Lytechinus pictus: one gene and its partners. Each later gene encodes a partner of the first gene's protein in a complex. Links are inferred from orthologs where the notes say so. Each region holds a gene or a part of one and is shown in the gene's direction. Other genes may lie near its edges. The genes, in order: target of rapamycin complex 2 subunit MAPKAP1-like, rapamycin-insensitive companion of mTOR-like, serine/threonine-protein kinase mTOR-like and target of rapamycin complex subunit lst8-like.

Region 1 (7,671 bases):
CCCATCAAGGAAATCATTGAAAATAATTTTACATTTTTCCAGTCAGGGAAAAATCAGGGAATTTGATATAAAATACTCCAAATCAGGGAAAAATGCCTCAAATGAGGGAAAAATCAGGGAATCTCGATCGGCCCAAAAGTCGAAAGCACTGTAGTCAGTCAGACTCTGTTATATATTGTTGCATATCAAAACAACATCCATTGAATGACTGGTTATGGTGGTACTATTTAGTTTTACATTGTTGTTTTATACTGAACATACATGTAATTCACTGTGACAACTTAGAAAACATGCGAAACTGGGAATGGGTTTAAATAATTATCATGGAATTTTTAAACTTCATCAGGGAAAAAATCAGAGAATTTTGTTTTCTTGAAAAGCTGGGAACCCTGGTACATGGTTTCCCACGGCATGGTGGCCCAGTGGTAGAGTGCCTGCCTTGCGCCAGGAGGTTGTTGGATCAAGTCTCGACCAAGTCATGCCAAAGACTTGTTAAAAAGCCAGCACGCTTGCAAGGGGGTTTGGTATATTACAGATTAGAGAAGGGTACGATAATTACCAAGCCCCCTACACGTATAATTGCCTGGATTTGAAATAAAAAGCTATTGCTTATTGTTTTCAGTAGGTAAGTTGTGGTTAGTGAAAAAAATTGATGGAAAACTATAACTCCCAAGAGAATGATGATAGATGCAATTATTACAAGAATATGTATACGAACAAGTGGAGCAGCCCAGCGGATTAGTCCCTGGACCCTGAAAAACAAAAGCCATGGGTTCAAATCCCAGCCATGGCAAAGTTTGTCTGACGGACAACAAAAAATGGTGAAAATCAACTAATTTATTGGTCTGAATCTACCAAAATGCTGGTTGATGTTGATCATTTTCTATTGGTCAGACGCATACTTATCAACAGATAGGTTACTTTAAACAATCCCTTTTATTAATTGTGATTTAATGACTTGCGATTGATTTGGACATACAAGGTCGACTTGCGATCGATTGCAAGTGTCTTTCACCATGGACTTAATGATTATAGATGGCACACTAATTTTGAAGTGGTATGAGCTCCCGATGAAGACTGACAAAATGTCTTCGACGGTAGATTAAAACAATTACTGGAGCTCCTTTGAATATTGTCAGCGGTTGTTAATTGTTCAAGATTTTAGCCTCCCCCATTTATCATCCCCTGCATTTGTATTGGATTTCTCCATCAATTAGCATTCATTAAACTTAATGGAAGGTACTTAGTCCCACTGATGAAGGGATCGTGTAGGCTCAAGAGGAAAAGATGTTGGGAATATCTCCAGCGCTTGCTCCTAAAAATGACAACAATCATATTGTTATGTGTGTAGTCTTTATAAGGTCAGTAAATATGCTCACCTGAGTGAGGTAGCTTGGAGACAAGACATAAAACTAAAGCCTATTTTGTCTGTCTAACTGATTAACTTAATACAAAATATGTCACAATGGCCCAGCCAGGCTTGATCAGTAGGACTATAGGACCATAATATTCATACAGTCCTGTCAATTACACCAAGCAAGGCTTTTCTATATCTTTCTAAACTTTAAAAAGAAAATCTACTTTTTTTCAATACAAATTAACGTGGCATGTTAAGAGTTGAACAAAAATGCAAAATTAAATGAGAAAAATGCACTTTTTGCTCTTTTGAGTAAATAAATTCACACTTCACTGCATTGTCAATTTAAGGCCTGTAATAATGACTTTTGATTATATTATTCTTATTCGTGAAGGACTTAATATAACATAAACAATTGGGAAATTTTCTGAAATTTGGCATTATGATTTCCTCCTAGTTATTGCTATTATTTTAAGATAGAAAATGTTTCAAATCGGACACCGTTCTCACTATCTTCCTAAGACTAGTTTACTGGAAACTAGTTTAGGGGGAAACTAGTTTAATGTGTAGTGAGAATGGTCAAAGAGATCTTTCAAACGAGTTCAAAAAAACCACTTCGCGATGTAGTTTTCAAGATCACTTTGCCTCGTTAAACTGGTTTTAGCGCAAGTGAGAACACAACCGTTCTTCGGGAAGCGATCTTCGCACATTTTGAGCGTGCTACTCCACATGACAGGTGTAGAATGCCTACGCTGCAGTTTTGAATTTCGCGAGAAACGTGTCACCCACTGAGAGCATTTCTATAGCAACAAGATCGCTATACGTGAAGTGATTTTGAAAACCACTTTCGTGTGATAATAATAGCCAATTTTTATAAAGCGCTTTTCCCAGAATGGCTCAAAGCGCGTTACAGCATAATTACCCCGGTCATTGGATTCATTTCAATCCCGCATGAAAAGTGCACAATTTCCACTCCCTGGGGAGCATTCCTTGCATTCATCGCAGCCTCATTATGGCGCTCGCAAAATCAAACAATATCTTTTGCATCCTACCGGGTACCCATTTAGCACCTGGGTCGAGAGTGGCAAAGTGTGGATTAGCGCCTTGCCAAAGGACGCTAAACCGCCGTGGGATTTGAACACACGACCCTCTGTTTACAAGGCGAGAGTCAGAACCACTACACCATGGCTCTTCCACTTGTGATCAAGTGGGAACGCTAGCAAAGCGATCTTCCAAACCGGTTTCCTGAGTCGGTTTCCAGTATAGTTTTAGAAAGCGTGCCTATTTTCTTGATACTAGAATCAGGAACTGGTTTTCTAGTACAAAGTAATAAGGGACATCGATATGGAGTGAGAAAAGTATGAGTGATTATGATCTAACTTTTTTTCAAGATGTTATAAAAAAACATGCAATTTCTATATCTTCATCTACACATCTTTTCTCAGCCTTACTTAATAAAGAGATATTTTTTGTTAATTTTTAAGCCAAGTTGTATAATCTATGTGAGACTGCCAAGGGTGTTTGTAGTTGTTGTCGTTATTTAAATGTCCATTAACCCTATTTAGGTACAGCCCCGATAAAAACCTTACAAAACTCTAAATGACTTCCAAGTTATAGCATTATCATGGGAAAATTACATGACAACTCATAATGAATTCAATAGTATCTGTTTTACTCTGCCATCAGTCTTATTGGTGGTTGCCAGTTGTGGCTCGCTGGGTATAGATCTGCGCTTGAATATTTTATGAATGATGTATTTGTTTTTTTCATATCTTGTTCTGATGTAACTTCAGTATTTGCCTTTTTTATTTGTATTTTTTAATGTAACTTACATCGATGGGAAGGTTTTTGCAACATTTGAAGTATTTCAAAAGCATCATAGGTTACTTGTAACTTGTAAGAGGCGAAATGCTGATGGAACTATAATGATGGTGATGATGATGGTGATGATGATGATAATGATAATGATGATGGTGATGATGATTATGATAATGATGATGATGGTGATGATGATGCTGCTGCTGTTACTAAGTACTGCTGCATGATGATTATGATGGTGGTGATGATGATGTTAATGATGATAATGATGATGCTGCTGCTGATGATGACAGTGATGATGATGATGATGATGATGCTGATGATAATGGTGATGCTGCTGCTGCTACTACTGCTGCATGATGATGGATGATGATGAAATGATGATTATTGTGATGATGATGATTATGATGGTGGTGATGATGATGGTGATGATGATGGTGATGATGGTGATGATGATGCTCATGATGATGCTGCTGCTGTTACTACTGCATGATGATGATGATGATGATGCTGATGATTATGATGGTGGTGATGATGATGTTAATGATGATTCTGCTGCTGATGATGACAGTGATGATGATGATGATGCTGATGATAATGGTGATGCTGCTGCTGCTACTACTGCTGCATGATGATGGATGATGATGAAATGATGATTATTGTGATGATGATGATGATTATGATGGTGGTGATGATGATGGTGATGATGATGCTGATGATAATGGTGATGCTGCTGCTGCTACTACTGCTGCATGATGATGGATGATGATGAAATGATGATTATTGTGATGATGATGATGATGATGATTATGATGGTGGTGATGATGATGGTGATGATGATGCTGATGATAATGGTGATGCTGCTGCTGCTACTACTGCTGCATGATGATGGATGATGATGAAATGATGATTATTGTGATGATGATTATGATGATGATAATGATGATGCTGATGATGCTGATGATGATGATGCTGCTGCTACTACTACTGCTGCATGATGATTATGATGATGGATGATGATGAAATGATTATGGTGATGATGATGATGATGATGCTGGTGCTCATGATAATGATGATGCTGCTGCTGTTACTACTGCTGCATGATGATAATGATGATGCTGCTGATGATGACGGTGATGGTGACGATGATGATGATGATGCTGCTGCTGCTACTACTGCTGCATGATGATGATGATGATGCTGATGATGATGACGGTGATGATGAAGGTGATGATGATGATGATGATGCTCATGATAATGATGATGCTGCTGCATGATGATTATGATGATGATGATGGTGGTGATAGATGATGATGATGCATGATGATGATGATGGTGATGCATGATGCATGATGCATGATGATGATGATGATGATGATGATGGTGATAGTGATGGTGATAGTGATGGGGGAATAAGGTGTTATTGATCAATATTTTATTAATGATTTCTTCATCACTTTATTCTCTTGAAGGGTCATGCTGGTGCAGGAGGCGTGAAACGCATCGAAATCTTTTTAACGATGGTCGAACCTAGCATTCCTGATAGAAGATTCTTAAAGGTTGTCGTGACAAACAACGCCAAAGTCCAAGATCTGATCGGTCTCATCTGCTGGCACTATGTGAATAAAGGTCTACAGCCAGAACTCAAGTTAGTCAGAAATAGCATCTTGTCCTATTGTGAAAAATTAAAATCAGTTTTTTATTTCCAGGGATTAGTCGTTACATTGTTCACAGTATTTTTACAATCTTTCCAAATCAAGATTATTATGCGCTCTATTTATAGGTGATGCTAGCTGAAGATTTCAGCATGTTGAAGGATAAACCCACCCCAACAAAAAGTTGATTTGAATAAAAAGGAGAAAAATCCAACAAGCATAGCACTGAAAATTTCACCAAAATCGGATGTAAAATAAGAAAGTTATGACATTTGAAAGTTTTGATTCATTTCACAAAACAGGTATATGCACAAGTATGCTGGTTGATATGCAAATGAGCAGACTGATGACGTCACCCACTCACTATTTCTTTTGTATTTCATGATATGAAATATGAAAAATTATAAATTTCTCTTCATTGTAATGTGAATTTTTTTTTATTCCTCCCTGAACATGTTGCATTACCATTATTTTAACAGTTTATGGTAAAGTCAAATTGGTTCATAGTGTCAAATCTGTAAAAATCGAAATATTGTATAATTCTAACAATAACGAACAAAATAGATAGTGAGGGACATCATCGACTCATGTGCATATAAGTAGACCGGCCAAAACGATTTTTTATACTTTGGACGGCAAAATTTGTTAATGCTTGCTAATGCTTGGCATCCCAGCTAATAGTCTTGCAAAAATACCCAGGAATAGCGTACGGCCGGATGCCAAGCGCAATTTTGCGTGAAAGTGTCCTTTTTAGCGTAAAATCTGAAAGAATGTCGAAATTCACGCATTTTGATATTTTGACGGATTATTTTAATATTTTTGATTATCTTTGATATGAAATTATTTTTATTCAGAGTTTCAAATTATAAGTTTCATAAATATGCATTTCAAATTTGAATATTACACACACACATATGGCACAGGGAAACTTAAAACCGCGATTTCCTCAAAATAAAAGTTTGTGAAAACTATCAATAGTTAAAAGTTTTTTACGCAACTTAAATTCTTCGATTTAAATGCGTTTCTCAATCGAATGTATAGTAAATGTCCTAATGCCACAAATATTAAAAGAATTTTCAAGTAAGATGGAATATATCTCATTTTATGTTATCCGAAAGGAGACAATGTGCATTTCACCAGGTGCGCATTTTGAAAGAAAAATTGAAAATACCGTACATTATGTACATAATTACATGTATAAGTGTACATACTAAAGCGAGTTTTTAATTACTAAGTACACACTAAAGCGAGTTTTTAATTGAATAGCACAATTTGTCAATTCTTTGCATCCCAGTCAAATTCTTGCGGAAATACTGAGGAATAACGTACGTGCGGATGCCAAGTGCACTTTTGCGTGAAAGTATCATTTTTAGCGTGAAATCTGAAAGACTGTCGAAAATCACGCATTTTGATATTTTGACGGATCATCACCATATTTTTGATTATCTTTGATATGGAATTATTTTTATTCAGAGTTTCAAATTATAAGTCTACTAAATATGCATTTCAATTTGGAATATTACACACACATATATGGCAATATGACATAAAAAATCGTGATTTACTCAAAATAGAAGTTTGTGAACACTATCAATAGTTCTAAGTTTGTTTACAACTTAAATTCTTCGATTTAAATTGGTTCAATTATTGAATATCGATCGTTTATAATGTCACAAATATTAAAAGAATTTTCAAGTAAGATGGAAGAAATATTTTCCGAAAGGGGGCATGCAAAATTTAGCGGGGGGGGGGGGGCATTTTGAATGTAAAATTGAAGATACTGTAAACTATTGACATAATTACATGAATAAGTACATACTTAAAACGATTTACAAAATTTCTGGCCGCAACTGGCTCTTCCCCCCTCCCCCTCCCCCCGCTGCCTAAGGTCATGTGTAGTGTCCGAAAGGATTACATGGAGCTGAAAGTATCCCGTTTTCAAGATAATATACCACTAGCGTAAAGGGGGGGGGCAGACTGCCCCCCGACGAGTCACAACAAATGCAGGGGACGTACCCCTGCCCCCCCCCCCCCCCCCCCCCCCCCGACGATTTTTTTTTTTCTGGTACAAAATCCTTTATTTGTGGTTGAAAACTTTTTTTTTTCTTGTAATTTTTTTCGCGGACGAAATGTCCTCAAAAAAATTGCCCCCCCCCCTTTGGAAAATCCTGGGTACGCCGCTGTAATATACCCAAAGTATTCTGATGGCGATTCTAGTGTATATTTTATTGTGGTTTAGCGAGATAGGCACCCTACACGGGATTACAAAAAGATGGCAAATAAATTTTCGACTCGAGATTCGCGCTGGCATTAATATATGAGATAAACAACTTGCTATCTGTTTTTAAAAAAACCTCGCCTGAAGTGTCAACTTCTCAGAATCCAGTCGCATCCAGTCCATTATTAAATAAATGTGAATACTGTATGTCTAATCTTTAGCTCTTAGTCTCTCCCAATTTTAGCTCGCGCTTTTGCGCTAACGTTTTTGTTAAGTAAGATATTCATCTTTTTCTACATTAAAAACATGTTTAAAATCCTTCGTTTAATTCGACATTTTCAGTTCACGCTTCGCGCTCGCATCAAATGCTATAATTAAATACTGATCATTGTTCATGATTTGACGATTTTTGTTTTACCTCATTTGCTAAGAAAGCGTGAATGCTTCTAAGCAAGCAACCAGATCACCGATGGCTTAAGGTACCCTCCGAGGGACCTATAGGATTAAAATGCCTTACTTGGCACTAGCGCGCCAAGTGAGAATCGAACCCAGGCCACCGGAATCCGAAACCCCCTCACTACCGATTGAGCTATCGCGCCTTAGAATGTTTCGTTTCTAATTAA
Region 2 (7,886 bases), on another chromosome or scaffold:
TAGTGACAGTGCACAATGGGAGAAACTTGTGCAGTTAATTTCTATCCTAAATGGCAGCAATGTATGTTCAGAAAGAGAAAAAATAATGAATATGTTGGTACAGCTTTCAATTCCACATTCAGTGCAGTTCCTGTGTATAAATAAACCGTATCCATCCCACCAAAATTGATTCAAATATTAATAACGGGGCCAGGGCAGTCCAACTGGCAATTAACAAAGTTCGTTCTCTCCCCAGATCTGAAGTTCTCAAACCAAAAAGTGACAAGGAGACCACCGACAGAATACCGCTTGTGACCACCTTCCATCCCAATCTACCCCCTCTCCGCAAAATCCTGTTTGATAACCACCACATTTTACACACTTCTGATCGTCTCCAACAGGCCGTTCCCGATACTCCCCTTCTAGCATACCGACGCCCACCGAATCTCAGGGACCTCATTGTTCGTGCTGAAGTGCCCTCCCTCACTAACCATTCTTCTCCCATACAGCATGGCACCTTCAAATGCACCAGCAACAGGTGCATCATATGTGAAATACACCTTCACGAGGGCGATACTTTCACCAGCAACTCTACCAGCCTGTCTCACCAAATCAAGGGCAACATCACATGCACTACCACTAATGTTGTATATCTCATCACTTGCAGAGTTTGTAGGGTACAATACATAGGGGAAACCAAGACCACACTCAAGAAACGATTCTACGGGCACAGATCCACCGTCAACACAGCAAAGCTGGACACTCCAGTTGGCCGCCATTTTAACCTCCCCAACCACTCCATCACTGACATGATGCTACAGGGCATCGAATCTTTAGGTACCCGTCCTGACTCAGTCCGTACTAGCAGGGAGAAGCTCTGGATGAGACGACTTCGCACCACCCAACCTCATGGCCTGAACATCCAAGAGGGGAACGACTGATTTTTCTTTCCTATCCACTTTCAATTTATATATACATATAATTTTTCCCCTCAGCTCTTTTGAATAGTCACATTATAGTTTCTTACTCTACTTTCCTCCCATATCTCATACAAGCTCAGCTCCAATTTTTCCTTCCTTATTCAGACGATATAATAATTATTATATATATATATATATATATATATATATTTGTTTTTTCTCCACTCACCTCTTTTAGATTTACCACATTTGCTTATTTACATGTATACTATGGTTTCTTCATAATACACCCCCTCTCTTCTATATTTGCTTTTACCTTTTTAGGCAATTTGCTTCCTCTTTTTCACATATACAGGTTTTTTTTTTTTTTTTTTTTTTTTTTTTTTTCCCTACTATATAGTCTTATGTTTTTTTCCCGTCACACCTAGCGGATTACAATATCAGTTACACCATATGTGTTTTTATATATTTTTTCATATACATTTCTTTTTTGGATATATTTATATACATATCACTTATAGATACATATTTACACTTACCTTCTTCTCTTAGTTTGTTTAATGCTTTATCATATATACTTATATGTCTTTTGCACATTATCAGTTGTTCCCCATTCTTCTTCTTCTTCTTTTTCCTTTTTTTTCCCCCCACTCTTATGCACCAGTTTATTAAGCCTTTCTTTGTAACCTGTTTGACCCACCTCTCACTAATTCTCTTGTTTTTCATCCCATTATCACTGTTTTGTTCCAGATCCTGTTTGATGTTGCCTGCCTCATTATTTTAATCCCTCTTGGCTTGAGGTCTTTTACTGGCCTTACTTACACTAACTTCCCTTTGTGTCTGCCTACTCCTTTTCTTTCATCCCCTTCACTAACCTGATTGGTCTTCTCTACTCACTAATGCCCCTTTTGTCTCCCTGTTTCTAGTGTTGCTGTAGCTTGTTTGTGGTCTATATTATGGTTGTTCCACTTTATATGTTTGTCATTTTGCCTCCGACGAAGATTCTGCTAGGATCGAAAGCTTAGGCCCCTTTTTGACTTTCTAAATATTAATAGTCAAATACAGCAATGCATTTTAACACTCAAAATTTCATCAAATTCTATAATGTGAAACATAGGAAAGCAAGGCATTTCTCTTTTCAAAATACAAATGCAGAACTCTATGATGTCAAACACCCATTATATATTTCATGAAATATACTGTATCCATTATCCAAATCTTTATAGTATTGATTTTGAAGATAAGTTTAAATGACCATGATTTTTCTTACATGTATTCTAGGATCATTTGGGAAACTAAAATATTTGAAATTTCACCAAAGAATGTGTAATATCATTGAGTCTCTTGATTGCATTCTAGCAGTATTCTGTATTATTATCATTTAAATACAGCAAAATTTGAAAATTATGCCATACCTTTCTTCAACATCCAGAGTGTAGAAGAGGTTGGGGGGGGGGGGGAGGGGTGCATAAACATATAATATAGGGCCTTCATATACATATACATGTACAGTGTAAGGTCAAATAGTTGAAATAGCTGTCGAATGTAAGTTGCATGTTTGTGATTGTAGATGGCTAATAACCAGGGGCATTGGTGATGACACACACGTGAGAAATAGCCATGCCTGTCCCGTATCCATCCTCTTCACTCATCGCAACCTGTGTTCAGACAAAAGAGATAAAAATATGTATGGTTGTTTTGAATGCAATTTTTTTTTATATCCTTTTTAATTTGGGTGCTTCTTTTCACAACGTTAACATGTAAGTCTGCAACATTGGTTAAGTTTCTACATTGCAATGAATGGGCATTTCCAGGGCTCGTTTTGTTTTTAGCATTTCAGGGGCTAAATTACCCCCATTCCCTGTGTAATTTTTTGCCTGGGTTGTTTGAAGGAACAGTACGCCAATATGCTTTTCACACTGCATTTCCTAAACCCCATACTATCCTTATAAAAAAAACGAGACTACCCTTAAACCCATACTATCTTTTTTTTTGGTTTCACACTGTCTTTCTTAACCCCATGCTATTTGCTTAGCCAGGGTTAATGCCTTAACCCCGGACTATCGCACAGCTCATGAATATTGACGATTTTGCCACATTTGCAATTTCGACTTCTGTGATTGGCTAATGCATAGCCCCCCCCCCCTTTTCCTTTGCCCAGTTTCATTTTACCCTGCATCTCTTAGCACCGCGTGGTGCTAGCACTGCAATAAACCGGTTAACCCTGCATTTTTGCAGGGCCAGATACATGTACATGTAGTACCATACTTTTTACCGTGCTAGCCCACTTTGCTAAAACGTAGTGTGAAACCGAAGTAAAGCTTAACCCCAGGAAATTGATGGGTCTAAGAACCCCCCCCCCCCTGAGCCCCACCAATTTCCAGGGGTTAAAGAAAATATGTGCAGTGTGAAAAACATACAAGTGACATGAAATACCAACATCAACTTTTGGTAATTTATATGAATGTTCATTTTCAACTTTCTGATATTCAGATGAAATGAAGTTTTATCACAAAAACATTCATGCGAAAATAGAAAATATGCAATATAAAATCTGATAACAAGCAAAATTTGTATTGTTGTGTATTTTAAAAAGTTGGGTCTGAGACAAAGGTTAATTTTTGTCTTTTTGGTATAAATCCACTTGTCAAGCATAAAATAAGACAGCATTTTGCAGATACAATATCTGCATTTATAACAGCATTTATTTTTCTGATACAAACTATTTAAATTTATAGGATGAATGTTTGGACACTCTTAATTAATTCCATAAAGCAAAAATGATTACATTGCATTCTTTACAAGAGAATGTATCTGTTGTCAAACTCAAATTACCACCAATAATCATTTGATGAATTAGGATATAAGGGTCACTAGACTTGAAAAAAAATCATGTATTTTTGTTCAAACCTTTCCATATATTAGCTACATGTACATGTACATATATAGTCCACAGTTTTCCACAATACAGAAAAAGGTAAAATTTCACAGAATTCAGTGAACATGAAAATTCATTCACAAACTTTATCAGCATGAAACTTACATTCTTTTAGCATTTTTTATATTGTTCCGCAATATCAGTCACCAGAGAATACAGATTTGCCATTTAGAAATTGGAACCTAAGCTTTGGACAGGTTTTACGTTTGGTTTTTGAAGGAGAATGTGAATTGGGCTTGTAGTGCACAGCTGAGGGTGTATAGGTTTAACCTTGACTTTGACAGTTGTTAGGAAATTGTTTTGTTTTGGAGGAAATGTTGGTTGTAACCCTCCCATTCTTGGCAAGAGGATGTTTTTATGAATCGGGAGGAGGCGTGTACCAATTTGATTGTTCTTGATGGGAATGATTCCATGATGTTTATAAAACAACACCCATGTAAAGTTTGTTTGCACTTTTTTGCTGACATTAAATTTAGAACTTGAAAAAGTATGTTTGAAGGGACAATGAAGTGTAGTGTCAACTTTGGAGAAAAAAAAGTATGAAAAATATGGTTTGACAGTTAATACCCAACTTATATAATACTAAGTATTTTTTTGAATAAGGTGAATGTCACCCATTTCAGCTGTATGTCATCTTGCCATTTTAGTTTTCATTGAAGATCAAATTAACATAATTGTTGAACAAAATTCTGAATATGTTTCTTTCGTTTTGTGAAAGGGTAATTTGATTGTATCAGGTCTATCCTTCTGCCCATGACCATAATTGAAAAAAAAATCACAATTTCTATTATAAAAGTAGAATATTTCATGTGAAAAATAGTGAATTTTCATCTACAATTTTGCTCTGAGCCAATCATATTGAAGGATATCATTTACTTTGACAGTCAGTGAAAACCCAAACTGATCCATGAAATGCTCCCCTTTCAAACTTCTTCTATTGAGTTCTAAATGTATAAATTTTAGTATTTTGAGGAAATAATACATGTAGATTTCATCTTAATTACAAGTATAATTTCTCGTTTTGATTACATAGCTTATCAACCATGTATCCAACCTTGACAAGCTGGGCTATTCAGTTGCAGAGGTCATTTGTTGGTAAGTATTCCATCTTGATTGTCAAACCTGTCTATTATGGCTACTGAGGGGAAACAGAGAGAGTTGCCACTGAATACAAGTGGCCTTTTGTAGAGACAGGTTCTATAAAATATTTCTTTCAAATAGGAGACAATTCTGATGGCCACTAAAGACAGGTTTTCACTTTATAGGCAGGTGGTTGCTATGAGACAGGTTTGACTATATAAGAATGAACCAAATCGATTGTTATGTTGGCCTCGTCCGACCGACCGTAAAATGCGAAAAACCAGTCGCTTCTTTTTTAGCACACTCAACATAAGGATCCCTTTTTAGACCTAAATCAAGGGAATTTTTTTTTGTAAAATAGAGATTTTGTTCACTTTTTCATTCATTTTGGGAGACTTTACACAAACACACAAGATGAGCTCATACATGTTCAATATAACCACTTGATGGCCTTGGTCTTAGAAGGCTTATGGTTTATCATCATTTGAATTGTATAAAGATGTACAGATGCATTCCATTGAATTAAAAAAAGAAGCTTGGAGCATATTATTTTAATATTTAGTATTACATACAATTTGGACAGTTGGGTTTGTTTTAGATGCTTTTGAGTATCATGCCCAATACCAGGAGATTTGAAACCGATGATTTTTATTCATATTTCAAAGGACTATTCATTGTAAGCATACAAGTATGTATGTACATAAAAAAGAGAAAGGAACTTCCAATGCAAGAGGCCTTTACAGGCTATTGTAAATAAGCCTACCATGCTTACATGTGCAATTGTACATGTACAGGAATTTGTAAAGCATAGAGCGGATCCACTGACCATGGCTGCGCTACAGTGCCCACATATGGTTCTAAATATAGATATGACGCAGATCCGATATATAGGTCATCTATCCCTCCCTTTCAACCCTCGGATGTAACCTACATTCAAATGTTCTCCTCATGAGCATGAATTGTGTTGCTATGGTAACCAGATAATAATGCAGGTAAATGTTACTGCACTTCCCATTCGTGAATTCAGAATTGAGTGTATGCCATTTTACTTTTTTGGTTTTGAAAATTTGTCCGATACCAGTGTATCCATATCTAAAATAAGGAATTCACAATAAATAAGATCTTTGTCCACTATCTATGCCTCATACAATTTTATGTACATGTAGGCTCACACATGAGAGCTTCAATAAATAAGTTAGAATATTATTCATAAAATATGGTTAAAAAATTAGTTGCCATTCATTGGAAGGGAATGGAACATGGAAGTTCACGTCATGCACTTGTACAGTACATCTTAAAAAAGGAAAATAGCCGATTACATGCTAGGGAAAGATGCACCACCTCCCATTCTTTAATTCTGTGATTAACAACTTTTTTTAGCTCTCAAGTTTCTACAAATTTGATACATTACTTTTAAGATTTATTTGTTTACATAGTTAACTTGAGACTGGTTGTAGGCCTGCTGTTAACTCTGTTGACTGTTGTACATGTAGGGCCTATGTCATTTACATGTACGTCATTTACAAGTAGGTAGTTTATTACAATTGGCATCCTTGAAAGCTAATTAAATTTATAACACCACAGCACATGAAAACAGGTACAATGTTAAGTGCATACACCTTTTATACAATACTTTGTGTATGGCACAGATTGTGAGAAGAGGGAAAAAATACAGTAGGCTGTGATTTAAGTTTGAGATTGTGATCATGTTGATATATATCTAGAGTTGATATGAAAACAGTATGTTGGCATCCATACATCACTGGTAAAATAGATGTGAGGTATCAGACATACTGTTCATTGTACAATGTATGTACCATACTCAACATGCATCGACATACAGTGTGGATTGATTGGTCTATGTTGAGTATGTGTGCTTGCATAATTGCAATCATGTTGAGCTCCATGATTAATTGCACAATAAGAAATGTCCTCTAAATTTTCTAGATTTATGCCCACAATTTGTAAGATTTTTGTTTTCCTATGTTTTTTTCCAGTTACTTGTAGGCTGTAGCATCATTTTAAAGTACATTTACAGGAGATTCAGAGATTATTCCCCCCTATTACTTTAGTTTCTTGTGAAGAAAATATGTTTTCCTTGTACAGACAGGTTTCTCATCATTTCCGAAGCATGTTTGTTATTTCCTTGGTGAAATACCACTAGTTAAAGAATGAATTGTACATGTACTATACACTGTAGTACAAAGTGTGAAATTGTTGATTACCGGTAGTTTAATGTCATGTAAATGTGACAGATAGGCCTACATGAAGTACATGTACTATAATCATACATAAAATTGAAAACAAAAAACAAAAACAAGTCGTTGACATTACATTTTTCTGTCTTGTACGTAATATAATTTCAAGATTTTATTCTTGACTCGGTCCCTCAGGTACTACATTAGCTACACATCGGAAAGCAAAATAATTCTTTCTCATATTTCTTTTTTATTCCTCTTGTTTTCTTTACAAATGTTTTTGGGAATCTGAAGCACAGTACAATACAATAGGTGCAAACTTAGGCCTGGTTTTTTTTTTACAGGTTAGGATATTTTTAAAGCCTGATAAACTGGCCTTTGTTCTTGACACAGTCTTTCTTATCTCTCTACTGCTGTCACTCTGATCCTATGCCTCGTATATTGGCTGTCATAAAGTGTAGGCCTATCTGACACTGGTTTACCCCCAGCACGTGTACAAAAAAGTTTGAAGTGATAGGACAAAAATAGGTTTTAGAGATTGGACTTACAGTCTGTCATTGTACAGCTGAAGTGCAAAAACATGAGGTCATAAGCCTTTGAATTCATTCATGTACATGTTCACCTTTACAAAATGATTTGCCTTTAATATTTAATGTTTAAAAAAATATCTGTTGTAAGACTTGTGGGGTGTTGGAAGCCAATTTTAGGGCCCAAAATCGATCATAAGTCTTGCAATAAAATTATTGCAAATGTGTTATTGATCGCTTTTCT
Region 3 (7,639 bases), on another chromosome or scaffold:
TTTCTTTTGTATTTTATTATATGAAATATGAAATATTTTGATTTTCTTGTCATTGTCATGTGAAATGAAGTTTCATTCCTCCCTGAACACGTGGAATTCCATTATTTTAACATTTTGCATGTGCTTCAGGCAAGGAGGTCCTAATCATCAAATTCGTAAAAATTGAAATATTGTATAATTCAAACAATAAAAAACAAAAGAAATAGTGAGTGAGTGACGTCATCGACTCTCTCATTTGGATGTAACTGGCTCGTTCATATAACTATTTTGTTAAAAATAAGCGAAACTTTGAAATGTCATAACTTTCTTATTTTACATCCGATTTTGATGAAATTTTCAGCATTGTGCTTGTCTGATTTTTCTCTATTGATTCAAATCAACATTTTTCTGAGGTGGACTTGACCTTTAAATATTGTATGATTCAGTCAAGTTGGTCCTCACTGTCAAATCTATACAAAATGAAATATTGTATAATTCAAACAAAAAAAACCCAAAAGAAATAGTGAGTGAGGGACACCATCGTCTGCCTCTTTGAGTTGTGCATTTCACTGTCTTATGACAAATAAGCAAAACTTTAAAATGTCATAACTTTCTTAAAGGAGAATGAAACTCTTGGAGCAAGTTAGCTTTTGTGAAAGCAGTAAAATCAAAGAATAAGATCAACAAAAGTTTGAGTAAAATAGGACTAGCAATAGAAGAGTTATGAGCATTTGAATGTCGAGATCACTAATGCTATGGAGATCCTCCAATTGGCAATGCGACCAAGATCTATGATGTCACAGATGAACAACTCTCCCCTTTTGGACACTGAAAATATACCCCAAAACATCTCTTTTTGCTCGATCATTCTCATCATATGACAAACGATTCATCAATGATATAATGTTGTGAAACCTCTGTACTTGTCCCCGGACTTGTCCTCTCATAAAGAGAACACCTCACCTTGTGATATACTATAAAAGTGAGAATAAGTGAAATAAGTACTAAAGTAATGAGGGAGTTGTACGTGTGTGACATATCACAGATCTTGGTCGCATTGCCAATGGGAAGATCAACATGGCATTAGTGATCTCAATATTCAAATGCTCATAACTTTCTTATTATTCATTCAATCTTCCTCAAACTTTCAACAATATGTTTCTTTGATTTTTCTCTTTGATATGGATTCAGCTGGTTTCAAGGATTTCATTCTCCTTTAATATACATCCGATTTTGATGAAATTTTAAGCGTTTTGCTAGTTTGATTTTTCTCTCTTTAATCAAATCAACATTTTCCAGGGGTGGACTTTACTTTTCACTACACACAACTACTTCACGCAGATGATGATCTCATGGTGAATATCGGGTTGCACAAAAATGCCAATTTTGACATAGCCGGCCTATATAAAAAAATTATACATTTTATTGCACCCCCTCTGACTCATATTTTTAATCTCTCACTCAATACTGGGAAATGTCCAGAGTGCTTAAAAATTGCTAAAGTAAATCCTATTTTTAAGAAAGACAACCCTCATGAAATAAGTAATTATAGACCTAAATCGATTCTCCCTAGTATATCTAAAATCATTGAAAAGATTATTTACAAGAGGCTATACAAGTTTTTGGATACACATAATTTATTAAATTCAAATCAATATGGTTTCAGAAAAAGTCATTCAACTGACCTTGCACTGATTAGATTATATGATAAAATAACAGATTCTATAGCCAATAAAGAACATGTAATAGGGGTATTTATGGATCTATCAAAGGCCTTTGATACGATTGACCACCAAATTTTACTTCAAAAACTTTACTCTTATGGAATTCGTGGTGTTGCTCTTTCCTGGTTTCAAAGCTATTTAACCAATAGAAAACAATATGTTGTATTTAATGATGTTTCTTCAACTTTTCTACCAATCCGATGCGGTGTCCCACAAGGATCGATATTAGGCCCATTACTTTTTTTAATTATATATCAATGACTTAACTAATACAACTTCTCTTCTATCGTTTATATTATTTGCAGATGATACTAACATATTTTACTCATATTATAACCTTAACACCCTAGTTGACACACTAAATAATGAGTTACTGAAATTATCTTTATGGTTTAAATGTAACAAATTGTCTCTGAATATCAACAAAACTAATTTCATGTATTTTAAACACATACAATCTCATATAAATGACGTACATTACAACATATTTATAGATAATGTTCCTCTTGAAAGAAAGCATCAAACGAAGTTTTTGGGTGTCGTCATTGACGAAAATTTAAATTGGAACGAACATATACGCCATATAATAACTTCTATTTCTAGGAATGTTGGTATACTATATAAATTAAAGAAATGTATTCCTTGCAAAACACTTGCGTTGCTTTATAATTCATTGATTTTACCGTATATAACGTATAGCAATTTAGTATGGGCCACAACAAACAAAACAAAAATAAATTCTATTCACTTATTGCAAAAGAAAGCGCTTCGCATTTGTATCGGTTCACAATATTCATCTCACTCCAAACCATTATTTTACCAATTAAAAACTCTGACAGTATTTGACATTAATACACTACAAAGTTTATTGTTCATTTTCAAGTATTTCAATGGGATGCTACCAAATTCATTAAAATTTTTTTATACTTTGAATAAAACCATTCATGATTACCCCACCCGTAATTCCTCTAATTTACATTTAGTCAATCCAAAACTACGTATTGCCCAGAGATCCGTAAGACAAAGATTCATGGTCCTGACCTTTGGAATCCTCTCCCAGACTCAATTAAATCCTCTTGCTCCCTACACTCATTCAAAGCTAAAGTTAAGGTCATGTTACTATCGGAATATGTAAAATAAACTTTCTTGTGTCATAATCATGTTCTAATATTCCGTTTCCATCATCATTAACATTATTTCCACCACCACCACCACCGTCACCACTATCATCATCATCATCATCATCTTCATCTTCTTCATTTGTCATTATCATTATCATTTTTTTTTTTTTACTTGATTATATATATTATAGCAAGTTTTGGCTTGTTAGATTTTGTTCTTCTCTTTTTATATTATACTTAATTGATACTTTAATAATTTGTTATTGTCCATTCTGCTCATAATATAATTATATGGTTAAAATATGTTTCGGTTCATTGTCATATTTTTCAAGCATTTTTTTGCTTACTATGGCAATCCATCTTCTGCTATTAATTTTATGCTAAATGATTTATACCTGATTTATTGTCAATGTACACTCTAAATTACAGGGATTTAAAATTAGTCCACATGGACTGTAGTTAGGGACCAATCGAATTCCGGATTTAATTGAATCCTTCAGATTCCTTTTTTAAATCTCGAAAGATTTAAATTTAATTTGAATTTAAATCATTTGAGATTTAAATTTAAGTCTTTAGGATTAAAACAAAATCCAGAAATCGATTGGTCCCTAACTACAATCCATCTAGACTTATTTTAAATCCCTGTAATTTAGAGTGTATGTTTGTTACATTTATGTTATATTATATTGTTATGTAGAAGAAAAATAAATTCAAATCAAAATAAGTGCCTTTTTTTTGCTTTGCCCCCTAAACGAAAATACGTTCTGCCGCCCCTGGTGCGTAGATTACATAGAAACATATTTTTGTGCAATTCCGGCCGGATAACGATCCCGATCATTTTCAATTAATGAAAAAATTCCAGGTAATTCCGGGTAATCCGAAAATTACAATTAAACTACAATTAAACGTAGTAACTTTGTTTGCCTCATAAGCCACAGTGGGTATCAATAAAAACGGGACAGTTTTGAAAAGTCCATCACTTTGTTTGAAATCATAATGTCTCTATTTTGATGTTCATATGCTCTTAAGTCTTATCTTTCAAATGCCATCAGAAAAATAAGTTTCGTTCATGCTTGAGCAAACATGGAACGTTTTTTGTCAGGGGTTAAAAAATTAAGACTTGCGCCAAAATGGCAGAAAATGAGAAAATATCGATCATCAGACTTCGTGCTAATCAGCAGACTCCTCGATCTTAACCTTTAAATTGTCTTTGTCATAATTATTCTGTCAAAATTCATTTACAAAACTATTGAATTAGGCCTACTTGATTTATCATTATTTTTTTCAAAATATGATGTATTTTAATACTGAAAATTCCTTCATAAAATCGTTAACCTAGGTAAGGGGGTTTGCGTTGTTAATGGGAGAGCTTGCAATTCATTAAAATGATTTCATTTTGTGCTACATGAAAGGTTGTGGTGCCTTTGAAAAACATGAATCCTTTCCTTGTTTTTCTAATGGCACTTGAAAGATAAGATTTAAGAACATCATTTAACATAAAAAATAGACATCATAATTTCAAACAAAATTTTGATAGACTTTTCACTTTTCAGAACTGTCCCGTTTTTAGCTCAAAATTTTGCTCGCGCTCCGCGCGCTCGCATTTTGTAATTTTGTTGCTATTTAAAAAAAAAAAGTTTAATTCCTTGATTTGGACTTTTGGTCACTTACACTTGGACCAAACTTGTGTAGGTTCGCTTTTTTCATGTCCGATTAAAGAAAAAAAGGAAATTCCAGTGTCTATTGAGATTCAGTTTCGGGAAATTTGTTCTATCGGTGATGCGTGTCACAGGTCAAATTGCATTTCCTGTTATTGAAGAGATGATGAGCTGAGGCCGTGGCGAGAGAGAGCCGAGAGAAAAGAGGCGTCAATTATTATAATCTACGACTACGAATTTCTCTTTTCATGGTCATCTTATCTTTTAAAGTTGCAGACATGATATAGCATATTCAGAGTTGGATTGGGTACTTTCAAATCAGTCAAAATGTCACAAATGAATAGTTTGGTCGGCGGATTGAAGAGCAGACACGACGATGTTCGCACCAGGGCAGCGAAAAACCTGCAGCACTACGTGAGCACCGAGCTGCGGGAAGTTTCGGCGGACGAGCGCACTTCGTTTATGGACGATCTCAACCACCACATCTTTGAGTTGGTATCAAGTCAGGACGTGAACGAGAAGAAAGGTGGAATTCTAGCAATTGGTGAGTGCATAGAACGAATAGATTTAAATGTCCTGTAGGTGTGTGTACAGCAAGGCTCCACATTAACTATTTTTGGTGGTGGCCCGTTCGGGCCACCAAAACCATCAAATAATTTTTTTTGGTGGCCCGATATTAAAGTTTGGTGGCCCGAAAAATATAAAGAAAAACATTAAAAATGAATAAAACAAACTTCTGAAATATTAATTCTGCAGCCACTACCACTAAGTTACTTTCACTTTATACATCTTGTATGTAAACCTTGTTTGCTGTTATTTTACTTTGATAATTGTTTCTATCGTTGTAAAAATGAAATGATTGAAAGTGAATAAATGAATTGTATTGTTTGCAGGTTGTGTGGACTTTTTTAACTCTCTGTATAGAGATAATGGTAAAGTAAATAAATAGTGCATAGCAAACTCAGATAGATGTACAAAACAATGGTTTTTCCTTCCTTCCTCTTTGAATCCTAAAACCTAGATTATGCATGCCCCAAATCCAGTTTATTTCTGTTTTCTCTTTTGCAGCATATTATAGAAGGCGAAAATCACAGAAAAATATGCTGCAAAATTAGAATAATGCATAAAAGGGGGAAACAAGCAAAAATAATTTTCAAAAAGTATATAACAAAAAGAAAACAAAAATGATAAAAGAAATTAGTGAAATAAAACAAAAGAAAGAAAATGAAGAAAGAAAAAAACAAAGAACAGGGAAAAAAAGAAAAAAAGAAAAGAAAAAAATCAGATAGAAAAAAGAAAAGAAAATGAAAGAAAAATTAATAAAACAAAGTTAATATAAAAATGGGGAAAAGGGGAAAATTAAGAAGCCATTACATATATTTTTTAACAGCTGTGGCAACAGTCTATTCTGACTGGAATATAATTAAAAGCCAAGCAAATAATTTTCACTTGCCTTTTGGGAATGGCACATTTCTATTTTTATATCCTTTAGTTTGTATTATTTTATTTTCAGTAGAAAAATAATTTTTAATCAGGCATATTCAATAGGAAGGGGTATAAATGGTTTAACCACTGTAAAAAAAAAAGGAAAAAAAAAAAGAAAACGGCAAAAACTATATCTGGAAAAAAAGTGTGAGAAAAGTCCTTCCCTATATTTGCCAAAATGTAGGAAAAAAAATCACATTTCATATCAATGAAATGCCTTCCCAAAGTATTTACTTTCTCAAGAGTGGTTTAAGAAGTCATTTATAACAAGAAAGAAAGAAACTGTCTGTTTGTTTAAGGCTAGAAAATACACAGCTTCGAAAGAAACCAAGTATCAACATACATACAAATGCACACGTGGGACTGTGATGTACTTGCCTATGTGTTTTTATGTGTATTAATTCATGTGGAAATCGGTCTTTTTGAGTCAAAAGAGAGGTCATAATTCCTCTTCTTAATACTTGCAAATAATCAGGGTACGCCAGATTTTCGTAATATAGACTGTAGAATTGCATTTCATTGGTGTAAAAGGTGACTTTGACTGAGATTTTCAAAGTTCTGTGGAAGATTTCTCAGCAGCAACATTTTTTTATCGCAGCTCCCTGAGTCTGAATAGGCTGTGCTAGATCTAGAGCACAGCTGTATGCACAGTGGCGTAGCTACGGGGGGGCCTGGGGGGGCACGTGCCCCCCCTGAGATTTGGTGTGCCCCCCCAGGTGCCCCCCCCTGAAAAAATTGGCAGGGCAAAAAAAAAGGAGAAAGAAGAAAAGAAAAAAGGAAAAAAAGAAGAACGACATAAGAAAAAAAGAGGAGGAAGACGAGTGAATGAAATAATGTGAAGGGAAGACTTGCAAAAAAAAAAATCTTTCATGTTATTATATAAAACTTTTGCTTGCGCTTCGCGCCAGAATTGCCTGTTCGATGAGATTCATATCTTGCTCAATAGGCTGATATGGAGCAAGTTTTGAAGTCAATATACAAAATATATTTTAGCTCGGACATCGAGCTTTCATCAATTTTTTTTCATTAAAAAAATTAAGTGCTCTAGCTGTAAAATGTCCCTTTTATAGTCTACATATCAGTATTTTTAAGCTCACGCTGTGTGGTCAAATTGTTTGATTTGCCAAGTTCCTATTGTCTACGTGTATTCCATAAACAAATGTATTCAGACGGCCCAGATTCTAGGTCTAAATCAAAAACATGCGCGATAGCCTGCATGTTCTTTATATTAAAATTATCCAGTTTCACATCAGAATATCAATAATTGTCTGCTCACGCTTCACGATCGCATTATTAATGATACCCAATTAACTATATCCTATTTATGATTTACAAAATATGAATAGAGTGTCCCGCTTTTAGGTCTAAAATCTAAATTTTCTTCCTCTCGCGCTTCGCGCTCGCATCAATTGTTTAGTTACATACCTATCCCATTTATTAATACAATAAGTGCTTAGAATGACAATTTTTTTAGGTCGGAATGTCAAAAAAATTTGCTCGCGCTTCGCGCTCGCATTATTGAAATATATACCGTCTTCGTGGGTAACTGTAAGCAGTCCTTAACAGGTCCCTTTTCGATAATGCTAGAACAGTTAATAAAATTTTCTGCTCGCGCTTGGCGTTCGCATTTACCATCTAGTTACATACGAATCTTGTTCAGGATCACACATAA
Region 4 (7,008 bases), on another chromosome or scaffold:
CCAACTCACATCTAGATGTCACTCTGTGTGATATCCAACGTTTTGATGAACATATAGCTACGCCCAAGCTTCTTCGGCGAAGTAAGTGGTTTTCCGAGACATGGACGCAGCCATCTTTGCTGAGATCGACTGCGCAACAGTCTGGAACTTGACACACCGATGCATGTCAATCGGTTTTTCTCTATTATACTCAATAGGAGCATACACTTTTCTATGCAGATTTATATAGCAGCCAACCTATACGGTATGCACACGCAATATTACCACGGTAAATCATAGATAAGAGATACTCTAGCGCAAAGAAAACGTACGGGCGGTTAAGGGCGGTTCAGTGTGTAATAGGAAGGGCGGTCTCGGGCGGTTCAGGTGCTATAGGGTTAAAAAGCATCCCTTGGCATTGAACCACTTTTCATGATATTCTTTCCAACTCCTAGGTACATGGAAAAAAAAACCATGATAGCTCAAAAATTCATCATCATCATCATCAATTCATCATCATCACCATCACCATCATCTTCATCATCATCATCATCATCATCATCACCATCATCTTCATCATCTTCATCATCATCATCATCATCATCATCATCTTCACCTTCACCTTCACCACCATCATCCTCATCAAAACCACCACCAGTCCACCAATATCACTGTCACAACCTTTGAACATCATCTCCATCATCACCAGCAGCATCATCTTCACCATAACCAACACCTTCATCATCATTGTCTGAACCTTCTTTAAATCAGTACCTTACTTTCCACCACTGCCACCAAACTCATTAGCATCACCATCCCCATCACCTTTGTCATCGCCACCACCACCATTATCTTCATCACCACCAACAGCATCATCTTCACTATAACCAACACCTTCATCATCATTGTCTGAACCTTTGTTAAATCAGTACCTTACTTTCCACCACTGCCACCAAACTCATTATCATCACCATCCCCATCACCTTTGTCATCGCCACCACCACCACTATCATCACCACCAGTATAATCATGAAATCTCCTTGACAACCACTAGCATCCATGCATTTGTAATACATGTACATTGAAGCAGGTCTTGTTTTGTAAATGTTAAAGTGAATGAGTTGTGCAATGAACTTGTGAGAAAGGTGAAGAGAATCATTGTAATTGTTCAAGTTCCTTTTTACTTTTAAGAAGTATATACCTAGGAAAAAAGCAACAATTCTTCCATCTTATTCAGCAATTTGTGCATTGCAGTACTGATACTGCAATACACAATTACTTTGAGACAGTTCAACCCACAATAGTCTTGATTACTATACAGGGCTCAAATATAAATATGTCACAAGCAGCCATGTTGGAGGACAGAACAATGGGAGTCATGTGAATTGCTAGACCATAAAAACAATGATTAATCACAGTTTGAAGCACAGGTTTTTTCTGTTTGTCATCCAACATGGCTGCCCGTGGTAACCCTCTTCAGATGAATCTGACTTAACAGCACTTTAACTCATGATGATGGCCTTATGGGATGGAAGGGGGGGGGGGGCAGTGAGCTTCCAAACAGAATAAACACACAAAACTGTAATTTCAATAGGTTATGCAAAATGCAAGACCAGGTGTTGCCATATCAGCTTATGATTGAATTGCTGAAACTTAATTATTACCAATTCAAATCTATATAGGCCCTACAGGTTTCTTTCCTGTGAGCTAATACAAAACAATGAATAGAATCCAGTTTGCATATAATTTAGTTGATGCTAGGTCTGGACATTCTTCAATAAGATTTGAGGTTGTTAAGATCAGTAGAGCCTTTATTTATTAAATAAAGGTAGGCCTATGCATAAAACTGTTAAGCATGATCAGGTCTAAAGGGAATATCCAGCGTAGACTTACCTTTTATATTGATCAGGCATTGGAAGTGCTTGAGATGGAACTCCATAAATTATGTTTTGGGTCTCCATCTTGAATGAAATTCTAAAAATCTCCAGCTAGTAGTAGTATGAGTCACAGCATAAATGTTGTTTCAGATCTAGTAGAGATAAGGGGGAGGAAAATCGTTCTTTTATAGTAGATCTACAAATAAATAACTCAAAATAAATTATAAATCACCCAACGGCCCTAGGCAATGTGATTCACACAACTTCCAAACAAGGTGGTGAACCATGAGTCTCGCCTGATTTCTCCATCAATAAATTATACAAAATGATCTTTTGACCCCTAAATGACTTTGATCTTATTGATCATTCTAGTGGACACACGTGTGGTATCATCCAATGATATTTTTACCAAGTGTAAACACAATTGATGCAGAAATTAGGAAGGCAAGTTAAAACAAGTGGAACGCCTCTAGCAGTCTCGCCTGCATTACGCAATTCGATATAGCAGCAGTGCTGCCTCTGAAAACAGCTAATGAATAAATATTCGTAGAAGAAAACACTAATATAATAATAAAATATGTCCATTCACCCAAAATGACCTTTGACCATGATCATGTGACCTAAGACATGTGCAAAACACTCATTCATACTTGATTACCTTTATGTCATTGAGCTAGATCCATAAACTTTCTAAATGACCTTTGACCTTGGTCATATGACTTGAAACTCGCACAGGATGTTCAAGGATACTTGATTGCTCTTGTAAACACTGCGTGTCTAAGTTTTATGAACTAGATCCATAAAATTTCAAAGTTATGATGACAATTCCTCAAATACCCCTACGATGGCTAAAGTTCATTGACCCCAAGTGACCTTTGACCTTGGTCATGTGACCTGAAACTTGCATATGATATTCTGGGATACATAGTTGCTCTTATGTCCAAGTTTCATGAACTAGATCCATAAACTTTTAAAGTTATGACAATTCCTTAAAAAAAACCTAACATGGCCAAAGTTTATTGACCCTAAGTGACCTTTGACTTTAATCATGTGACCTGAAACTCAGGCAGGATCTTCAGTGATACATTATTACCCTTATGTCTAAGTTTTATGAACTAGGTCCATATACTTATGACAACATTTCAAAAACTTAACCTTGGTTAAGATTTCGATATTGATTCTCCCAACATGGTCTAAGTTCATTAACCCTAAATGACCTTTGACCTTAGTCATGTAACCTGAAACTCAGGCATGATGTTCAGTAATACTTGATTACCCATGTAATCATGTACATTAAGTGGTGAATTAACCAATTAAGACTTTTCTGAGTAACTCTCCAAAGTCCTAACATGCCTAAGTAATACGTTCTATTGCCCGTTGTCTCTTCTGTACGTCTTCCAGTTTCAAGTTTAAGGTAAAAGTTTCAGCTTCATTCGAGATAGGGGTCTAGAAATAACTTTTCAAGCTCGAGTTTGGTAGGGCCTGACATTATTTCTGTCAGTTATGATCGATCATGTCTTTCAAACTAATTCAAATTAAAACATGTAACGTTAACTTAAAAGTTAAGTTCAACTGAGTTACATATTCTTATTTATTTGTAGTACATTTGACAATCACAAGAGTTAACTTTTACCTGTTTTCCCAGGTTATCACCAGGAGCTGGACATTGAGGAACAGAAGATCCTGTGTCCAGAACTGAACCTTTGGCTTTGTAACCTGGCTTATGTAACTTTCTCAGCTGGCTCCGGGCACGTATTGGAATTCGGACCGCCGCAGTACTGAACTTCCCCTTTCACTGACGTGACAGTGACACTGTCACTACAGCCTTACAGGCTACACACAGTTCAACTCTGTCTCTGAGAACCAGTATAACGTTAGTATTGACGGCTAAATATCCATATTTTCTTCCACTAAAATTTAAAAATGCATTCAAACTTTCGCTTTCCAACAGTTGTGTCAGCGTCGGCTTAACGTTTCACAGTATTGCATTAGAACGAGAAGCACATTGCAAAGTGGCGTGCTATGCTAGCGAGCTGCTGTAGTCTGACGGCTGAGTACGAGTATTTTTCATGATATGCAGGCATGATCTGCATGCCGCGCGCGCCGCGCCGCGCTCTCTAGCTCCTCCGCCCTCGCGCTGGCCTGGATATGGATGCTGCCGATGTAATTGCGCGATCGAGCTAGCTAGCAAGCTAATACGGTCTTCGCCTTGTTTACAAACAAAAGACTGGTATCATTTTGTACCGTAAGCTCATGGATAGACTATGCGATTTCATTTTACGAGAAGGGCTACCATACCGAGCCTGTAATGCACCTTCATATGATCAGTGCGGAAGCTGCTTTCTTTGATTAGTCTGGTTCTCTCTATTCCCCTTCAGCTGGTTACTTCTTAGCAGTTTTAAACAGAAATGGGAAATCCAAGCGATCAAATAATTCTCGCCACTGCCGGCTATGACCAAACTATTCGTTTCTGGCACGCACACACGGGTATTTGCCACCGCACTGTCCAACATCAAGAATCGGTGAGTTTCATGAAATTGTGTGTGGTAATCTATTGGATTTTTTATTAAGGTTATAGTCGGTCAAGAGTTTGAAGAGGGCGTGTCCGATGCGAAAGTGTGATGTCGTTGGTGGGTGGCGAGTGAGTGGGGGGTGGGGGGGGGGTTGCATTGTAGCTCTTTGCTTTAAGAGAAAAAAGAAATAGGCCTAGACATAGTAGCTTTTTTATATCTATTTCCTCTTCAAATTTTACTTAATCCTTTTATCTTGGCCTTTGAATTTGAAGTAATGTCCCTGCCATTGAATCAGTCCATCCTGACCTGGGTTGGGGTTAGCCAGGAGGCTCCTAGAGAGTAAAAATCATACACTAACGTGTGCTTATTTCATGGAGCTAGGCATATCATAACCTTGTTCATTGAATGAGTGGAGCCAGGGATTGTGCCCCATTCATGTGCATATACCGCGGTCAACATTGCAAATTTTGCCCCGAGATTTCTACTTTCCCTGTAAAAGATCTAAATCATGTAAATGGGCTAGAAATTAATTTCCAACATTTATACAATTTCGATTTCATTTTGAAACAATTATTCTTTAAAAAAAAGAGAAAAATATTATGAAAAGACAGGAAAGAAACTTGCCGGTGCGATGTTTACATGGCCATCTTGTTCTCTTTGTTAGTAGCTAAGATACGAGACGCTACGGCATATAGAGGGCGGCAGACATCTGCCACCCTCTAATTGTATTATTAAGCCAAGGGGAATTTGCATAGAAAGATGATGAAAATTAAGGGGCCAAAATACATTTGCAAAGTCATATTCTCAAAAATATAATATCTAGTCAGTGATATGTTGATTTCCACATTTTCCCACTGAAAAAAATGGGTGCCAAGGTGTTTGACTATTCATGAATTCTGTGCTAAGATGTACAATCTGATTGGCATTTCTTTTTATGACTCTCAATGTACATGTACATTCTAAACTTAAGAAAACAACTACTTTTAAGCAGCCTCAACACTGATGTAGAAACTGTGGTTCATGTGTAAAATATTTGTTTATTAAGGTACCACAAATAGCAAGCTTTCTGTTTATTTCATAGCTTTAAAATCTGTGATGGGTTTTAGTCAACTCTGTAGATAATTCGAAACTATGAAAGTTGTAGCTTGGAAGCATTAACCAGTCAGCAGCATGTTCATGTTGAAGTTGTGAAAATTGAGATTGACGGCGATGAAGAACAGTCTTTATATCAACCAGCTGTTGCTCAATGCTCTGTACATCAGTTAGCAAAAAAAAAACATGTCTATTGTGTATGTACTCAAATTTATTTGCTGGTGAAAATAGTGGTTTGGGAGAGCAAGTAATTGAAATAGTCACGTTTTTTGGCAGATGTAGGTGATATAAAATGTATGATTTTTTTTTTGTAACTCATAGGCTATACTGTATGTGCTCATAAAATTACACAGATGCCAATTTAAGTGCTTATATTGCTTTGATTGAGTTGTTGCTTACCATAATATATTAAGGGGGTGATTAAAAATTAGGGAAGTAATTGCGATTATTGTAATTGTATTAAATCAGACATTAAATTTCTTTAATTTTATGGCAAGGGTGTTTTTCTATATTGCAGCACAAATGGAAAATATAAAAAAGAACACTGGAAATCTTCAAGACTTGTGATCATGAGAAGGGCATTGAGTTAAATCAGCACCCATAGTGTTTGATAGCATTTGATTAATTTAAGCCCAGTTTAATTACCATTATTATTGTCATTTGACTCATTATAATCCTTTCCTCTTTCCAACCCACAGCAAGTCAATCATTTGGAAATCACCCCGGACAGGAGTTTATTAGCTGCTGCAGGTGAGTATTAATATGGAAAACAGATTTAGCTTCTCCATCACAGATTCTCTAAACTATTTGCACATTTCTACAACTTTGTGTTCCATATTTGTCACACACTACTTCAATGAAGAACTGAAGGGGACTCCTAAGATTGCTGTGATCGTGAATGATAGCAGTACTTTTTACCTCTAGGCTCTATTAAAGAGCGGTAATGTTATTTCAGAGTTTTGTGAAAAACAGAATTTGTATTAATAAATGTCTTTGGTGAAATAAAATAGACATGCTCCTTGCATAAAATATAAAAACTGCTCTGAAGACTGAATTTCTATCAATTATTTTAACTTAAGTTCTTCCCTAGAAGCATACACTGGAATGAACTTTTAAAATATTAAAATTCAGTTCAAAGAAATTCACCCCCGGTATTTTGTCATCTTCTTTATAGGTTACCAGCACATCCGTATGTATGATATCAACTCAGGAGACACCACACCAATCATCAACTATGAGGGAATCCCTAAGAATGTTACATCGGTTGGGTTCCAGGAGGAAGGCAAATGGATGTTCACAGGTGGAGAGGACTGCACTGCTAGGATATGGGATCTCAGGTATGAAGGTGTTGTACAACAAAAGAGATGCAATCAATATTAAGTTTGATTGTTCCTTTTAGATTGTTTGTATACTGACAGATGCCATTGACTGTACAATTGATTGCATCATTTTATGTAGGGTTCTGATGTTGCTTTTATTTATAGAAGGCATCAACATTGGTGACTAATTCTTTTGGATGAACATTAATTGTGGAAAATGAGAAAATT

Evidence for each region.
Region 2: the proteins of target of rapamycin complex 2 subunit MAPKAP1-like (region 1) and rapamycin-insensitive companion of mTOR-like are in contact, whole or in part, in a cryo-EM structure (PDB 7PE7), measured with the Homo sapiens proteins. The link is inferred for Lytechinus pictus from reciprocal best matches to the Homo sapiens genes MAPKAP1 and RICTOR. Residues at the interface, in NP_001006618.1 of Homo sapiens: Ala2, Phe3, Leu4, Asp5, Asn6, Pro7, Ile9, Ile10, Leu11, Ala12, His13, Ile14, Arg15, Gln16, Ser17, His18, Thr20, Ser21, Asp22, Asp23, Thr24, Met26, Cys27, Met29, Val30, Leu31, Ile32, Asp35, Val36, Ser84; in NP_689969.2 of Homo sapiens: Arg108, Gln137, Glu140, Thr144, Leu147, Arg148, Arg151, Lys152, Thr155, Arg182, Met183, Arg185, Ala186, Ala189, Cys192, Glu193, Leu196, Leu220, Arg222, Ile223, Glu225, Ala226, Leu227, Thr229, Thr230, His233, Asn236, Arg293, Trp295, Glu844.
Region 3: target of rapamycin complex 2 subunit MAPKAP1-like (region 1) and serine/threonine-protein kinase mTOR-like share a complex: the UniProt entries of both Homo sapiens proteins name them as parts of the mechanistic target of rapamycin complex. The link is inferred for Lytechinus pictus from reciprocal best matches to the Homo sapiens genes MAPKAP1 and MTOR.
Region 4: the proteins of target of rapamycin complex 2 subunit MAPKAP1-like (region 1) and target of rapamycin complex subunit lst8-like are in contact, whole or in part, in a cryo-EM structure (PDB 7PE8), measured with the Homo sapiens proteins. The link is inferred for Lytechinus pictus from reciprocal best matches to the Homo sapiens genes MAPKAP1 and MLST8. Residues at the interface, in NP_001006618.1 of Homo sapiens: Lys102, Cys103, Lys104, Asn105, Ile106, Gln107, Trp108, Lys109, Arg111, Asn112, Ser113, Lys121, Leu123, Phe124, Glu125, Lys126, Lys127, Ser128, Leu129, Gly137, Lys138, Gln139, Ser140, Ile141, Leu142, Val144, Arg145, Leu146; in NP_001186102.1 of Homo sapiens: Ala29, His30, Pro77, Ile78, Ile79, Ser80, Tyr81, Asp82, Gly83, Arg98, Arg110, Ile111, Trp112, Gln120, Cys121, Gln122, Arg123, Ile124, Asn139, Gln140, Ala141, Leu157, Lys158, Ile203, Glu206, Ser279, Gly280, Asp281, Gln283, Asp322.

Annotation. Positions count from the first base shown.
Region 1 is NC_087259.1:8,588,641-8,596,311, reverse strand, and holds the start of target of rapamycin complex 2 subunit MAPKAP1-like, read left to right. Parts: upstream 1-4,650; 5' UTR 4,651-4,695; coding exon 4,696-4,823; intron 4,824-7,671. UniProt on the Homo sapiens protein: Component of the mechanistic target of rapamycin complex 2 (mTORC2), which transduces signals from growth factors to pathways involved in proliferation, cytoskeletal organization, lipogenesis and anabolic output.
Region 2 is NC_087255.1:32,403,531-32,411,416, forward strand, and holds the start of rapamycin-insensitive companion of mTOR-like, read left to right. Parts: upstream 1-4,874; 5' UTR 4,875-4,932; intron 4,933-7,886. UniProt on the Homo sapiens protein: Component of the mechanistic target of rapamycin complex 2 (mTORC2), which transduces signals from growth factors to pathways involved in proliferation, cytoskeletal organization, lipogenesis and anabolic output.
Region 3 is NC_087258.1:3,792,241-3,799,879, reverse strand, and holds the start of serine/threonine-protein kinase mTOR-like, read left to right. Parts: upstream 1-4,624; 5' UTR 4,625-4,809; coding exon 4,810-5,026; intron 5,027-7,639. UniProt on the Homo sapiens protein: Serine/threonine protein kinase which is a central regulator of cellular metabolism, growth and survival in response to hormones, growth factors, nutrients, energy and stress signals.
Region 4 is NC_087254.1:30,996,849-31,003,856, forward strand, and holds the start of target of rapamycin complex subunit lst8-like, read left to right. Parts: upstream 1-3,995; 5' UTR 3,996-4,264; coding exon 4,265-4,378; intron 4,379-6,159; coding exon 6,160-6,211; intron 6,212-6,635; coding exon 6,636-6,798; intron 6,799-7,008. Other genes in the region: hexosaminidase D-like, read right to left, coding at 1,873-1,940.